Linked DNA regions of Saccharomyces cerevisiae S288C. Changing the gene in region 1 together with any one later gene gives a genetic interaction. Each region holds a gene or a part of one and is shown on either strand. Other genes may lie near its edges. The genes, in order: GAL2, GAL7, GAL10 and GLO2.

Evidence for each region.
Region 2: mutations in GAL2 (region 1) and GAL7 impair growth when combined (synthetic growth defect), as found in Saccharomyces cerevisiae (2 studies listed by BioGRID, with this or other methods).
Region 3: mutations in GAL2 (region 1) and GAL10 impair growth when combined (synthetic growth defect), as found in Saccharomyces cerevisiae (2 studies listed by BioGRID, with this or other methods).
Region 4: mutations in GAL2 (region 1) and GLO2 together harm fitness more than expected from each alone (negative genetic interaction), as found in Saccharomyces cerevisiae (2 studies listed by BioGRID).

Annotation. Positions count from the first base shown.
Region 1 is NC_001144.5:288,178-292,475, reverse strand, and holds GAL2 (galactose permease GAL2), read right to left. Parts: upstream 2,265-4,298; coding exon 540-2,264; downstream 1-539. Other genes in the region: SRL2 (Srl2p), read left to right, coding at 1-82; EMP46 (Emp46p), read right to left, coding at 3,226-4,298. UniProt on the Saccharomyces cerevisiae protein: GAL2 is a facilitated diffusion transporter required for both the high-affinity galactokinase-dependent and low-affinity galactokinase-independent galactose transport processes.
Region 2 is NC_001134.8:273,847-277,508, forward strand, and holds GAL7 (UDP-glucose:hexose-1-phosphate uridylyltransferase), read right to left. Parts: upstream 1,682-3,662; coding exon 581-1,681; downstream 1-580. Other genes in the region: GAL10 (bifunctional UDP-glucose 4-epimerase/aldose 1-epimerase), read right to left, coding at 2,407-3,662.
Region 3 is NC_001134.8:275,753-280,432, forward strand, and holds GAL10 (bifunctional UDP-glucose 4-epimerase/aldose 1-epimerase), read right to left. Parts: upstream 2,601-4,680; coding exon 501-2,600; downstream 1-500. Other genes in the region: GAL1 (galactokinase), read left to right, coding at 3,269-4,680. UniProt on the Saccharomyces cerevisiae protein: Mutarotase converts alpha-aldose to the beta-anomer. It is active on D-glucose, L-arabinose, D-xylose, D-galactose, maltose and lactose.
Region 4 is NC_001136.10:1,007,271-1,010,334, forward strand, and holds GLO2 (hydroxyacylglutathione hydrolase GLO2), read left to right. Parts: upstream 1-1,739; coding exon 1,740-2,564; downstream 2,565-3,064. Other genes in the region: Cu(2+)-transporting P-type ATPase CCC2, read left to right, coding at 1-1,419; DON1 (Don1p), read left to right, coding at 2,906-3,064. UniProt on the Saccharomyces cerevisiae protein: Thiolesterase that catalyzes the hydrolysis of S-D-lactoylglutathione to form glutathione and D-lactic acid.

The DNA.
Region 1 (4,298 bases):
AGACGTTGAATTGAATATTAATAGGTTGCAGGTTGATATAAAAGAAATAAAGGAAATGCTTGTTACACTGATAAACAAATGACTGAAAAAAGCAACTCCTGGATCGTTCGAACATTCTCACTCCATTAATTGTATGTTAGCTCAGGAATTCAACTGGAAGAAAGTCCAGGCAAGTACCTGACTTATTTTCTAGAGGACCCCCCAGAGATAAGTCTGGTGATGTGGTCCTTTAATAATTTCATAGGGACAATTCATTTTGCGTTTTTAATTTTGCTCGGTGAACAAAGGATGGCAGAGCATGTTATCGTTTTCTTTTTTTTTTCCTGTTTTAGAGAAAAAGGTTATATATGTAATAATACTCTGATATATGTACACAAATAATAGGTTTAGGTAAGGAATTTATATAATCGTAAGGATATCATTGATAAGGGAAATTTTTTTTTTTTTTTTTCAAACAAATACTATGATAATTAAAATGAAGAAAAAACGTCAGTCATGAAAAATTAAGAGAGATGATGGAGCGTCTCACTTCAAACGCATTATTCTAGCATGGCCTTGTACCACGGTTTGTCGTCATGTTGTAAATCCTCTAAATCGTAATTATTACCTCTTCTGGATGAAGGAATCCAGCCTTCAGATTTCCAAGGTAAAACACCTTCTTCCCATAATTCTTGAATTTCTTCTAACGATAGGCCTTTAGTTTCTGGAACAAAGAAAAAGACATAAAAAAACATGGCAACCAAACAGCCCATGAAGACATAACCGTAGTAGAAGTTAATGGCAGATGTGATGAATGGGGTGAAAAATGCAATCAAGAACCCCCATACCCAATTGGAAGCAGAGGCCAACGCCATACATTTCGACTTGACTCTCAGTGGGAATGATTCTGCTGTGATGACCCAGGCAACTGGCGCCCAGGTTGTGGCATAACAGAAAATATAAAAACAGGTAAAGACAATCATACAGTTACCGGCACCTTTAGAAGATGGCTGGCTTTTACCGTGAGGATATAATCTAGTAACACCAACAGAGGCGTAGATGACCATACAAGCCATCATAGTGGCAGCGCCCAAAAGTAAACATTTACGATGTCCCAAGTTTTCGACAGTCCACAAACTAAAGAAAGTGGAGGCAAAGTTGACTACACCAATGACAATGGATGTTTCAAAGGAATCATCCAGGCCAACTGACTTGAAAATAACGGTACCGTAGTAGAAAAAATAATTGTTACCGGTTAATTGTTGGAACATTTGAACAAACACACCCATCAACAAACGTTGAAATACTTTGGTCTTGGTGGAAAATAATTCCCCCCAGGACGCATTGCCAGCCAGTTTTTCAGCTTCTATACCGGCCATGATCAGATCTAACTCTGCCTGGACGGCAGGATCCTCTGGTGACACCTTGTTAGACTTAGCAATGGAACGCTTGGCGTCTTCTACCTTATTCACCTCACATAAATAACGTGGGGATTCAGGAACTAACGTCAAAGCGCCAATCATAAATAATGACCAAGCGAAACATAGCCCTAATGGAACTCTCCATTGAACTGAGTTCGAATAGCTCTTTGTACCGTAATTAGTACAGTAGCCCAAAAAGATACCTGCAGTAATCATCAGCTGATAACAAGAAACTAGTGTGCCTCTCAAGTGCTTTGGAGCAATTTCAGAGATCAACATAGGACATAAGACGGCGATGCCGCCGACACCCAAACCAGATATGATTCTACCAATGAAATATTGGTACCACTTGTTGATAGAGGCAATTTGAATGATAATACCAACTATATAAACCGAGACGACAATCGAAAGACCCTTTTTACGGCCATACATATCTCCACCTTTGGAAAGTATAATACCACCAAAGGCACAGCCAATATTGAAAATGGCGACGATTAAACCTGTTCTGACGTTTGACAAATAGTGGGTACCATCCTTATGTTTCATACCAAACCTTCTCAAAAAGTCTGTTTGGACAACAAACCCAGAAATAGTACCGGTATCCCAGCCAAACATGAAGCCGCCGAAGGCAACACACAAACAAAGCAAGGAAACGGTAACATATTCAGACATGGGCTTCTTGGGTATCTCTATAGGAACACTTTGGGAGCCTTCAGACCCTGACTCACCGGCTTTCAATTCATCATTAGAATACTTTTGAGATTGTGCGCTTAAATGGGAATCTTTACTGAGTGAAGAGATCACGTCTTCACCAGCTTGGGGTTGCTGTGAAACAACAGGCATATTGTTCTCCTCAACTGCCATTATGAAAGAATTATTTTTTTTATTATGTTAATCTTGTGTTTACTTAACTATTACTATTCTTGATGATAATTGAATAAGGTGCATAATGAAGAGCAATTCACAACACCAAATTTTCAATCCAATTACTGATTGTTTATATATGTCTACAAAACTTATCCTATCTCCACATTTTAGCCTGCGAAATGTTTGTTTTTTGAACAATAGCTCTCCAGAATGTTGTATAATTTAAGAATATGTGCACAGTTAACTTTCTAGCAGGAGTATAATGCCATTTGCTCCCCATCTTGAGATGGGAAGGGCTTAACTAATCTCGGTTCGGAGTGATCCGCCCCGATACTGCCTTCTGCCTTAATATCGTCCAAGGCACATGGACCCCTGAACGGCGCAGATATCTCCGCACGGACGAAAGACCGCCGGTGCCTTCCTGAGGCAACCGCCCCTTTCGAATATAGATCACGTGACCCATTTTTAGCTACTAATAGAAAAAGAAATTGCAACCTACTTAAGCCATTCCGGAAGGAAGCTTTCCGAATTGACGTTGAGTACCTTTTGTGAAAAGATTCTACCGCATTTAATTGGAGTTTGATGCAAAGTAGTTGCCAGTTACAAGTTGAGTGCGGCTACCTGATATTTTCTAGTCCTATATTGCTGTGATCTGAATCTGGAAAGTTCCCCTGGTCCGTAAACCTCCTTGGATTAGTACAGCCCGTTATGCTCAGTAAATGTAATAGATGTGCCTTCTGCAGCGAAACTGGTATTGTAGGAGACATATTACTGTCGTCTTGGAAGCAAAATTAATGTTTTGCTGCTTTTACTGTCGCGTTTAACAGTTGATTTTCCCAAAAAAAAAAAAAGAAGTTAACAGCATCTATATAAAGAAGGATATAGATAACATGCACATTTTCGTATGTAATAGTTATGTTTCTTATATCTTGTACCCATATAACAAAGACACAAGAGCTTACAGAAGTTTGACCTTCTTGATGTCTTGGTTAATTCTAAACATGTAGTACGCCAATGTGATCATAATGAAAATCAGCAGTGCCAACCATACACTTATTTTGGAAAATATCTCATCATGACCTTTGGTCTGCTTGCCATACAGCTTGGCATCTTGTCGAATTTTTTCTTGTTCTTTTATCAATCTGTCCAGGTTTGCGTTCATCGAAAGAAAATCTTGGAAACTATCGTCACTTATGGCTGTTTTCTTCAGATCTAACAGTGGTCTTAAACGTTGAATCAGTTCACGTTCATTCTCCACAATCTTGTTCATCTTGCGGAGTAATGGATCGATATCATTTGCCATGATTTTCCCCTCCAACTTGTTCATCTTTTCGAAAAGCTCGTTACTCGTTATACTTTCTTCCTTATCAGAAAATGGCATCTTTTCCCTGAAACTCTCTTCACCAGTTTGAGAATTGATCACTTTAGTAACCACTCTGGGTTGTCCCATAGGATTCACGTTAGGAATTAGCGAATCCTCTATAACTCCGTCATAAAGCTTCATTTTCAAGATTTCAAACGATTCTTTGGATGCATCGTTGATAGCACTTGTTCCAATCCTAAATGGGCTGCTGCCCATAAATTTAACTTTCCTTGTCTGGAAACACACTCTGTTGTCCATTTGCAACTTTAACAAGTGATTATCTAGTGGATTGTAAGTCAATCTTAATGTTGATGGTACCATGGAATCCTGGTATTGGAACAGACATGACGCAAAGTACGGTGAGGATTCAATATCAAGATCTTTTGTTCCGTCATTCAAATACGCTGTCACGCTCTCTCCCAACTTATCGTCTAATCGTAACAATATCATCAAACCATTAAACTTCTTCGAACTTCCACCAAATAACTCGGTACTATCTCCCTCATTTCCTTGCTTCAGCCAAAATGCAAGACCCCCCTTTGTGCTGCCTCTGAACCCGAAACTTCTAAACGTCCACTCTATTGTCATTGCATCCTTTATTGAATATTCAGGTTTCAACCAAAGTGAACCCTTTGTGTTCTTTCCAGGAGTTAAAACAAACCTCCCTT
Region 2 (3,662 bases), on another chromosome or scaffold:
AAAACTCTATAACCCGGATCAGAAAACTACGAAAAGAGGGTAATAACATAGGTGCAGGATTTCCATCGATAACGACACCGACAATGAGCCTTGCTGCAACATCCAATTAGGACTAATAACTATCGTAGGAATTTCTACGTAATAAACTTCAACAGAGCCTAAAATTTGAAAATAAATAATCTAGAGGGGAAACTTAAAGAAATTCTATTCTTGTCAATAAAGTGGAAATGTGTCAGATGTCACAGTTTCTTTATTTGTGACACATATTTTCAACATAAATTCAGGCATTAGTGCTTTTATAAGCATAAGAAGTTGTGGCGATATGAATATTCCAGATTTTACTTACAAGCTGCATTGTATTCCTAAAATTCTTTTTTCTTTTTTTTTTTTTTTATGGAAAGGACCACTCTTACATAACTAGAATAGCATTAAGAATCAGATTTACAGATAATGATGTCATTATTAAATATATATATATATATATTGTCACTCCGTTCAAGTCGACAACCAATAAAAAATTTAAAAGAAACCAGGCAGTTAATAGAAAAAATATGATATGAATGAATATTCCACTTTCTTTTTACAGTCTTTGTAGATAATGAATCTGACCATCTAAATTTCTTAGTTTTTCAGCAGCTTGTTCCGAAGTTAAATCTCTTTGAGGCTCACCTAACAATTCAAAACCAACCAAGAATTTCCGAACAGTAGCTGATCTCAGTAAAGGTGGGTAGAAATGCATGTGAAACCAACTATTACTCAATTCATCACCAGTCGCATTCAAAGGAGCCTGATGGATACCCATTGAGTATGGGAAACTCGTTTCAAATAAATTATCATACTTAATAGTTAGTTGCTTTAAAATCGAGGCGAGGTCCTCCTTCACCATTTGGTTAAATTGGCTAATTGAGGCAAGCTTCTTCTTTGAAATGACCAAGGTCTCAAATGGCCAGATGGCCCAGTATGGAACAACAACAATAAAGGATTCATTCTCCACTACGACTCTTGACTTCTCTCTTGATTCTAATTTGACGTAATCGGCAAACAAATCAGTATTGTGTTCACGTTTATATTTATCAAAAGATTTCAATTCTTGCGAAACTTCACTAGGGATGGATTCTAAGCACCAAGCTTGGCCATGTGGATGTAAGTTGGAACAACCCATGGCTGTACCTTTGTTTTCAAATATTTGGACATATTTGAAAGGCTTATGATTTTCTCTTGCTTCTCTGGAGAGATCGTCAGTCAATGCTTGCCAAGAATTAACAATATGAACCAGATCTGATTGTTTCATTTGTGGAATGGTTAGATTATGATTGGGGCTAAAACATATGACGAAACAATTGCCTCTCACAGATTGCACTTTAAGCAGCCTATTTTTAAGATTATCCTCATTGGAATCATTCTGTGGTAAAATAGGTTGATCGAGCCTAACGGCAGCATAATCATTGGGGAAAATATACGTTGATTCATATCTTGGGTTTAGGTTACCAGTAGCTCTTTTGTTACCAGGACATAGATAGCATTTTGGATCATACAATGGAGCTGTGGGCTTGTAAGCAGCCTCCTGTTGACCTAACCAAGGTCTTTTAGCTCTGTGTGGAGAAACTAAGATCCATGAATCGGTTAGTGGATTGTAACGTCTATGGGAATGGCTAGAAAAATCAAATTCTTCAGCAGTCATTTTTGAGGGAATATTCAACTGTTTTTTTTTATCATGTTGATGCTCTGCATAATAATGCCCATAAATATTTCCGACCTGCTTTTATATCTTTGCTAGCCAAACTAACTGAACATAGCTACACATTATTTTCAGCTTGGCTATTTTGTGAACACTGTATAGCCAGTCCTTCGGATCACGGTCAACAGTTGTCCGAGCGCTTTTTGGACCCTTTCCCTTATTTTTGGGTTAAGGAAAATGACAGAAAATATATCTAATGAGCCTTCGCTCAACAGTGCTCCGAAGTATAGCTTTCCAAAAGGAGAGGCAAAGCAATTTAAGAATGTATGAACAAAATAAAGGGGAAAAATTACCCCCTCTACTTTACCAAACGAATACTACCAATAATATTTACAACTTTTCCTTATGATTTTTTCACTGAAGCGCTTCGCAATAGTTGTGAGTGATATCAAAAGTAACGAAATGAACTCCGCGGCTCGTGCTATATTCTTGTTGCTACCGTCCATATCTTTCCATAGATTTTCAATTTTTGATGTCTCCATGGTGGTACAGAGAACTTGTAAACAATTCGGTCCCTACATGTGAGGAAATTCGCTGTGACACTTTTATCACTGAACTCCAAATTTAAAAAATAGCATAAAATTCGTTATACAGCAAATCTATGTGTTGCAATTAAGAACTAAAAGATATAGAGTGCATATTTTCAAGAAGGATAGTAAGCTGGCAAATCAGGAAAATCTGTAGACAATCTTGGACCCGTAAGTTTCACCGTTTTTCAAGGTTACACAATCTTTCCAGTTCTCTTGATTGATAGCATCAATGTATCTACCAGGCTCAATTGCAAAACCTTGTCTTGCTTCGTAACCAGCAGACAAGAAATCACCGGTATAAAATTGATAAGTTGGCTCTGTACTTAAAACTTCTAATGTAATATTGGAATCGGGATGAAAAGCCTTGACAATAAGCGTCAATTCATTGTTTAGAGTATTGATTTGACTTGGCTTAGCATTTTCATCCACCACAAAACAACAATCAAACTGGGGATTTTTGGGGCCTAAGACCGTTGGCTTTGTAGAGTTAAAGGTAGCAATTTCTCTATCGACGATATTACCCGTAGGAATCATGTTTTTGTCGACATCAACAGATTTTTTTGAACGCACCATAATCTCCGTACCCTCAATAGTGTCTCCATATGGCTTGTTCAGATTGAAATAACTATGATTTGTTAAATTTATTGGCGTCGCTTCACCAGCAGTCAATTTACCTTTATATACCATTTCCAAACTTTTTTGGGCAACGTTCACAGTATACTGTATGGTTACCAATAGATCACCTGGAAATTCGGTGTCCTTCTCATTATCTATCAGCATGTACTCGGCGGTAAAAACATCCTTTGAAGGATTTTGAATGATGGGTCCCAAAAATCTTTTTCTGTGGAAAGAACCGATACTACTATGATTCGCATTAACGCCGTTATTAACGGTTAACTGATAGTCTTTGTTGCATAAACTAAACTTACCCTTCGAAATACGATTAGCATACCTGCCGATCGTGGCGCCTATATAAGCACTATCAGGATTCAAATACCCTTCCTCATTTTCATAGCCAAGAACAACTGATTGTCCGTTCACTTTCAGGTCAACAATGCTGGCGCCCAAATTGGCAAACGTGGCTTGAAATCTGGTGCCGGCACCAATAGTCACAAATCTTGCGTCATAACGCATATCTTCAGCGGAAAATCTGGCCTCGACACCCCTTAACTGGTAACCAAAAGGATTCTCAGTAGTCCATTTCCATAAATCCTTGCAGGAGTCTTCAACCTGCAACTCGGTCTGCCATTTCAGTTCGCGTTTGGCCCTATCTGGTTTAGCCGTCAAGTTCAAAACATCACCTGCTCTTCTGCCCGTAACTTTGTATGGAAGATCAATACCAGAAGCTTTGCAGAATGCATGATAAACTTCAAAAACTGTAGAACCTTTACCGG
Region 3 (4,680 bases), on another chromosome or scaffold:
TTAAGGAAAATGACAGAAAATATATCTAATGAGCCTTCGCTCAACAGTGCTCCGAAGTATAGCTTTCCAAAAGGAGAGGCAAAGCAATTTAAGAATGTATGAACAAAATAAAGGGGAAAAATTACCCCCTCTACTTTACCAAACGAATACTACCAATAATATTTACAACTTTTCCTTATGATTTTTTCACTGAAGCGCTTCGCAATAGTTGTGAGTGATATCAAAAGTAACGAAATGAACTCCGCGGCTCGTGCTATATTCTTGTTGCTACCGTCCATATCTTTCCATAGATTTTCAATTTTTGATGTCTCCATGGTGGTACAGAGAACTTGTAAACAATTCGGTCCCTACATGTGAGGAAATTCGCTGTGACACTTTTATCACTGAACTCCAAATTTAAAAAATAGCATAAAATTCGTTATACAGCAAATCTATGTGTTGCAATTAAGAACTAAAAGATATAGAGTGCATATTTTCAAGAAGGATAGTAAGCTGGCAAATCAGGAAAATCTGTAGACAATCTTGGACCCGTAAGTTTCACCGTTTTTCAAGGTTACACAATCTTTCCAGTTCTCTTGATTGATAGCATCAATGTATCTACCAGGCTCAATTGCAAAACCTTGTCTTGCTTCGTAACCAGCAGACAAGAAATCACCGGTATAAAATTGATAAGTTGGCTCTGTACTTAAAACTTCTAATGTAATATTGGAATCGGGATGAAAAGCCTTGACAATAAGCGTCAATTCATTGTTTAGAGTATTGATTTGACTTGGCTTAGCATTTTCATCCACCACAAAACAACAATCAAACTGGGGATTTTTGGGGCCTAAGACCGTTGGCTTTGTAGAGTTAAAGGTAGCAATTTCTCTATCGACGATATTACCCGTAGGAATCATGTTTTTGTCGACATCAACAGATTTTTTTGAACGCACCATAATCTCCGTACCCTCAATAGTGTCTCCATATGGCTTGTTCAGATTGAAATAACTATGATTTGTTAAATTTATTGGCGTCGCTTCACCAGCAGTCAATTTACCTTTATATACCATTTCCAAACTTTTTTGGGCAACGTTCACAGTATACTGTATGGTTACCAATAGATCACCTGGAAATTCGGTGTCCTTCTCATTATCTATCAGCATGTACTCGGCGGTAAAAACATCCTTTGAAGGATTTTGAATGATGGGTCCCAAAAATCTTTTTCTGTGGAAAGAACCGATACTACTATGATTCGCATTAACGCCGTTATTAACGGTTAACTGATAGTCTTTGTTGCATAAACTAAACTTACCCTTCGAAATACGATTAGCATACCTGCCGATCGTGGCGCCTATATAAGCACTATCAGGATTCAAATACCCTTCCTCATTTTCATAGCCAAGAACAACTGATTGTCCGTTCACTTTCAGGTCAACAATGCTGGCGCCCAAATTGGCAAACGTGGCTTGAAATCTGGTGCCGGCACCAATAGTCACAAATCTTGCGTCATAACGCATATCTTCAGCGGAAAATCTGGCCTCGACACCCCTTAACTGGTAACCAAAAGGATTCTCAGTAGTCCATTTCCATAAATCCTTGCAGGAGTCTTCAACCTGCAACTCGGTCTGCCATTTCAGTTCGCGTTTGGCCCTATCTGGTTTAGCCGTCAAGTTCAAAACATCACCTGCTCTTCTGCCCGTAACTTTGTATGGAAGATCAATACCAGAAGCTTTGCAGAATGCATGATAAACTTCAAAAACTGTAGAACCTTTACCGGAACCCAAGTTCCACTCACGACACAAACCTTCATTTTCATTGTAGGCCTCTAGGTATTGCAGGGCTGCAATATGACCTTTTGCTAGATCAACTACGTGGATATAATCCCTGATCGGGGTACCATCTCTGGAATCATAATCGTCTCCGAAGATGTAAAGCTTCTCGCGCCTACCAACAGCTACTTGAGCCATATATGGCAACAAATTGTTTGGTATACCTAGCGGATCTTCTCCGATTAATCCAGAGGGATGTGCGCCAATTGGGTTAAAATAACGCAAGATAGCAAACTTCCAACTTTTTTTGTCGCTATTGTAAAGATCATTCAAGATATTCTCAATGGCGTATTTCGTATGACCATACGGATTAGTAGGCCCTAAGGGACATTCTTCTGGGATAGGAATCATATTTGGGAATCTCGTAGCATCACCATAGACAGTAGCAGAAGATGAAAAAACAAATTTGGAAACGTTGTATTGTTGCATTAACTCTAATAAAACGACAGTTCCCAAAATGTTATTGTGATAGTATCTCAGCGGGATTTGTGTAGATTCACCTACAGCCTTTAAACCAGCAAAGTGAATTACCGAATCAATTTTATATTCTTTGAAAACCTTTTCCAGACCTTTTCGGTCACACAAATCAACCTCATAGAAGGGAATGTGATGCTTGGTCAAGACCTCTAACCTGGCTACAGAATCATAAGTTGAATTCGACAGGTTATCAGCAACAACACAGTCATATCCATTCTCAATTAGCTCTACCACAGTGTGTGAACCAATGTATCCAGCACCACCTGTAACCAAAACAATTTTAGAAGTACTTTCACTTTGTAACTGAGCTGTCATTTATATTGAATTTTCAAAAATTCTTACTTTTTTTTTGGATGGACGCAAAGAAGTTTAATAATCATATTACATGGCATTACCACCATATACATATCCATATCTAATCTTACTTATATGTTGTGGAAATGTAAAGAGCCCCATTATCTTAGCCTAAAAAAACCTTCTCTTTGGAACTTTCAGTAATACGCTTAACTGCTCATTGCTATATTGAAGTACGGATTAGAAGCCGCCGAGCGGGCGACAGCCCTCCGACGGAAGACTCTCCTCCGTGCGTCCTCGTCTTCACCGGTCGCGTTCCTGAAACGCAGATGTGCCTCGCGCCGCACTGCTCCGAACAATAAAGATTCTACAATACTAGCTTTTATGGTTATGAAGAGGAAAAATTGGCAGTAACCTGGCCCCACAAACCTTCAAATTAACGAATCAAATTAACAACCATAGGATGATAATGCGATTAGTTTTTTAGCCTTATTTCTGGGGTAATTAATCAGCGAAGCGATGATTTTTGATCTATTAACAGATATATAAATGGAAAAGCTGCATAACCACTTTAACTAATACTTTCAACATTTTCAGTTTGTATTACTTCTTATTCAAATGTCATAAAAGTATCAACAAAAAATTGTTAATATACCTCTATACTTTAACGTCAAGGAGAAAAAACTATAATGACTAAATCTCATTCAGAAGAAGTGATTGTACCTGAGTTCAATTCTAGCGCAAAGGAATTACCAAGACCATTGGCCGAAAAGTGCCCGAGCATAATTAAGAAATTTATAAGCGCTTATGATGCTAAACCGGATTTTGTTGCTAGATCGCCTGGTAGAGTCAATCTAATTGGTGAACATATTGATTATTGTGACTTCTCGGTTTTACCTTTAGCTATTGATTTTGATATGCTTTGCGCCGTCAAAGTTTTGAACGAGAAAAATCCATCCATTACCTTAATAAATGCTGATCCCAAATTTGCTCAAAGGAAGTTCGATTTGCCGTTGGACGGTTCTTATGTCACAATTGATCCTTCTGTGTCGGACTGGTCTAATTACTTTAAATGTGGTCTCCATGTTGCTCACTCTTTTCTAAAGAAACTTGCACCGGAAAGGTTTGCCAGTGCTCCTCTGGCCGGGCTGCAAGTCTTCTGTGAGGGTGATGTACCAACTGGCAGTGGATTGTCTTCTTCGGCCGCATTCATTTGTGCCGTTGCTTTAGCTGTTGTTAAAGCGAATATGGGCCCTGGTTATCATATGTCCAAGCAAAATTTAATGCGTATTACGGTCGTTGCAGAACATTATGTTGGTGTTAACAATGGCGGTATGGATCAGGCTGCCTCTGTTTGCGGTGAGGAAGATCATGCTCTATACGTTGAGTTCAAACCGCAGTTGAAGGCTACTCCGTTTAAATTTCCGCAATTAAAAAACCATGAAATTAGCTTTGTTATTGCGAACACCCTTGTTGTATCTAACAAGTTTGAAACCGCCCCAACCAACTATAATTTAAGAGTGGTAGAAGTCACTACAGCTGCAAATGTTTTAGCTGCCACGTACGGTGTTGTTTTACTTTCTGGAAAAGAAGGATCGAGCACGAATAAAGGTAATCTAAGAGATTTCATGAACGTTTATTATGCCAGATATCACAACATTTCCACACCCTGGAACGGCGATATTGAATCCGGCATCGAACGGTTAACAAAGATGCTAGTACTAGTTGAAGAGTCTCTCGCCAATAAGAAACAGGGCTTTAGTGTTGACGATGTCGCACAATCCTTGAATTGTTCTCGCGAAGAATTCACAAGAGACTACTTAACAACATCTCCAGTGAGATTTCAAGTCTTAAAGCTATATCAGAGGGCTAAGCATGTGTATTCTGAATCTTTAAGAGTCTTGAAGGCTGTGAAATTAATGACTACAGCGAGCTTTACTGCCGACGAAGACTTTTTCAAGCAATTTGGTGCCTTGATGAACGAGTCTCAAGCTTCTTGCGATAAACTTTACGAATGTTCTTGTCCAGAGATTGACAAAATTTGTTCCATTGCTTTGTCAAATGGATCATATGGTTCCCGTTTGACCGGAGCTGGCTGGGG
Region 4 (3,064 bases), on another chromosome or scaffold:
GGGATCCTAATTTTGGCAGTATTGACTTTCTTTATTTGGTGTTTTATTTTAAACATCTCGGCTAATCCTCCCGTCGCTTTCACCGCAAATACTAAGGCTGATAATTTTTTTATTTGCTTACAAACTGCTACTTCTGTTGTCATCGTCGCATGCCCATGTGCATTGGGACTTGCCACGCCGACTGCTATAATGGTGGGTACAGGGGTTGGAGCTCAGAATGGTGTCTTAATAAAGGGCGGAGAAGTATTGGAAAAATTCAATAGTATTACTACTTTTGTTTTTGATAAAACAGGTACCTTAACTACAGGTTTTATGGTTGTGAAAAAGTTCCTTAAAGATTCAAATTGGGTTGGAAACGTGGATGAAGACGAAGTTCTCGCCTGTATAAAAGCAACGGAATCCATTAGTGACCATCCAGTTTCGAAAGCAATTATACGTTATTGTGATGGTTTGAACTGTAATAAGGCTTTAAATGCCGTTGTTTTAGAAAGCGAATACGTGCTTGGAAAGGGAATAGTCTCAAAGTGTCAAGTTAATGGAAATACTTATGATATTTGTATTGGGAACGAGGCGCTGATTTTGGAGGATGCATTAAAAAAATCCGGATTTATTAACAGTAATGTCGACCAAGGAAACACTGTATCATACGTATCAGTAAACGGGCATGTGTTTGGCTTGTTCGAGATTAATGATGAAGTTAAACATGATTCTTACGCAACAGTTCAGTATCTACAAAGAAATGGATATGAAACGTATATGATTACTGGCGATAATAACTCAGCAGCAAAAAGAGTCGCTAGAGAAGTAGGTATAAGCTTCGAAAATGTTTACAGCGATGTGTCACCCACAGGCAAATGTGATCTCGTGAAAAAAATTCAAGATAAAGAAGGTAATAACAAGGTTGCTGTTGTTGGCGATGGCATTAACGACGCTCCCGCTTTAGCACTGAGTGATCTAGGTATTGCCATTTCAACAGGTACGGAGATTGCTATTGAAGCAGCTGATATTGTTATACTGTGCGGTAATGATCTGAATACTAATAGTTTGAGAGGACTGGCCAACGCCATCGATATTTCACTAAAAACGTTCAAAAGAATAAAGCTGAATTTGTTCTGGGCACTTTGCTATAATATATTCATGATTCCGATTGCTATGGGTGTGCTCATTCCTTGGGGCATAACTCTTCCTCCAATGCTCGCCGGTTTAGCGATGGCATTCAGCTCGGTCAGTGTCGTTCTAAGTTCATTGATGTTGAAGAAGTGGACTCCACCGGATATTGAATCACATGGGATTTCAGATTTCAAGTCCAAATTTTCGATTGGGAATTTTTGGTCAAGGCTTTTTTCTACGCGGGCTATTGCAGGTGAGCAAGACATAGAATCACAGGCCGGACTAATGTCAAACGAAGAAGTCTTGTAAATAACAGGTAAGTCTAATTTATTTAAAAAAATCCACGAGCATATAGATTTATAACAATAATAATAATTAATATTCATCAATTTTTTAGTAAATTCATATATTTTACTCCTACTCTATGTATTTTCAGTAAGTCTACTAGTCGTATTACCCGTCGGTTTCAAGGGATATTATGGAGGTAATAAGGATTTTTTTACCGATTTAAAAACCCATTATATCCCTCTTAGAAAAATTTTAGTATTCTTAGATAAGTTGCTAGATTTACCAATATCAAAGGGAAGACTGCAGGACAACACAAAAACACAAGAAAAGGAGGACAAAAAATGCAGGTTAAATCGATTAAAATGAGATGGGAGTCTGGTGGTGTTAATTACTGCTATCTATTGTCCGACAGTAAAAATAAAAAATCGTGGCTAATCGATCCAGCAGAGCCTCCTGAGGTTCTGCCAGAGTTGACTGAGGATGAGAAAATAAGTGTTGAAGCAATTGTTAATACACATCACCATTATGACCATGCAGATGGTAACGCTGATATCTTGAAGTATTTAAAAGAGAAAAATCCAACTTCAAAAGTTGAGGTTATAGGAGGGTCAAAGGACTGCCCAAAGGTTACGATAATTCCGGAGAATTTGAAAAAGTTACACCTAGGTGACTTAGAGATTACTTGTATTAGGACGCCCTGCCATACCAGAGACTCTATCTGTTATTATGTGAAAGATCCAACAACAGATGAGCGCTGCATTTTTACTGGCGATACACTATTTACCGCTGGTTGCGGTAGGTTTTTTGAGGGTACAGGCGAAGAAATGGATATAGCTCTGAACAATTCTATCTTAGAAACTGTGGGCAGGCAGAACTGGAGTAAAACGAGGGTTTATCCAGGACACGAATACACAAGTGATAATGTAAAGTTTGTTCGTAAGATTTACCCGCAAGTTGGTGAAAATAAAGCATTGGATGAGTTAGAACAATTCTGCTCCAAGCATGAAGTCACAGCAGGGCGGTTCACTTTGAAAGATGAGGTAGAATTTAATCCATTCATGAGATTAGAAGATCCAAAGGTCCAAAAAGCTGCCGGAGATACGAATAATTCATGGGACAGAGCTCAAATTATGGATAAATTGAGAGCTATGAAAAACCGTATGTAGGAAAGCCAACAGAGTATAATATACTTAAAAATATTCTTTTAGCATACCCTTTTATTTCAATGTATAAGAGTTTTTGGAACGCTACTTTATAACATTCAGGTCTGTTCACTAGAACTCTTGTAGTTGTGCCGTCATAAAAATTAGTCTTCGCGTGGCTGAAAGAAAAGTTCCAATAATACGGGCGGCTCGAGTAGAGTAATCATTGCCGTCACAAAACCATTTTCGGGTAGAAATAAAGCAATGGATATTTGAGCTCCAGAATTAAAATGGCTTTCCTTTTGCGGTTTACTATCTACTTGACTTTGGCTGGTATTTAAACACAAGTAAGAGAAGCATCAAACATGGGAAAGAAAAATAGAAAGGGAAAAGAAAATAATGCTGCTAAAACCTCTTTTCTAAAAGTAGAGAATATTAAAAACACTAATTCGGGATTGGAGCTTCCATCGCAAGACTATACAAACGTTGAAGAAAAAGAAAGTAGCCCGAAAACTGACTTTCCA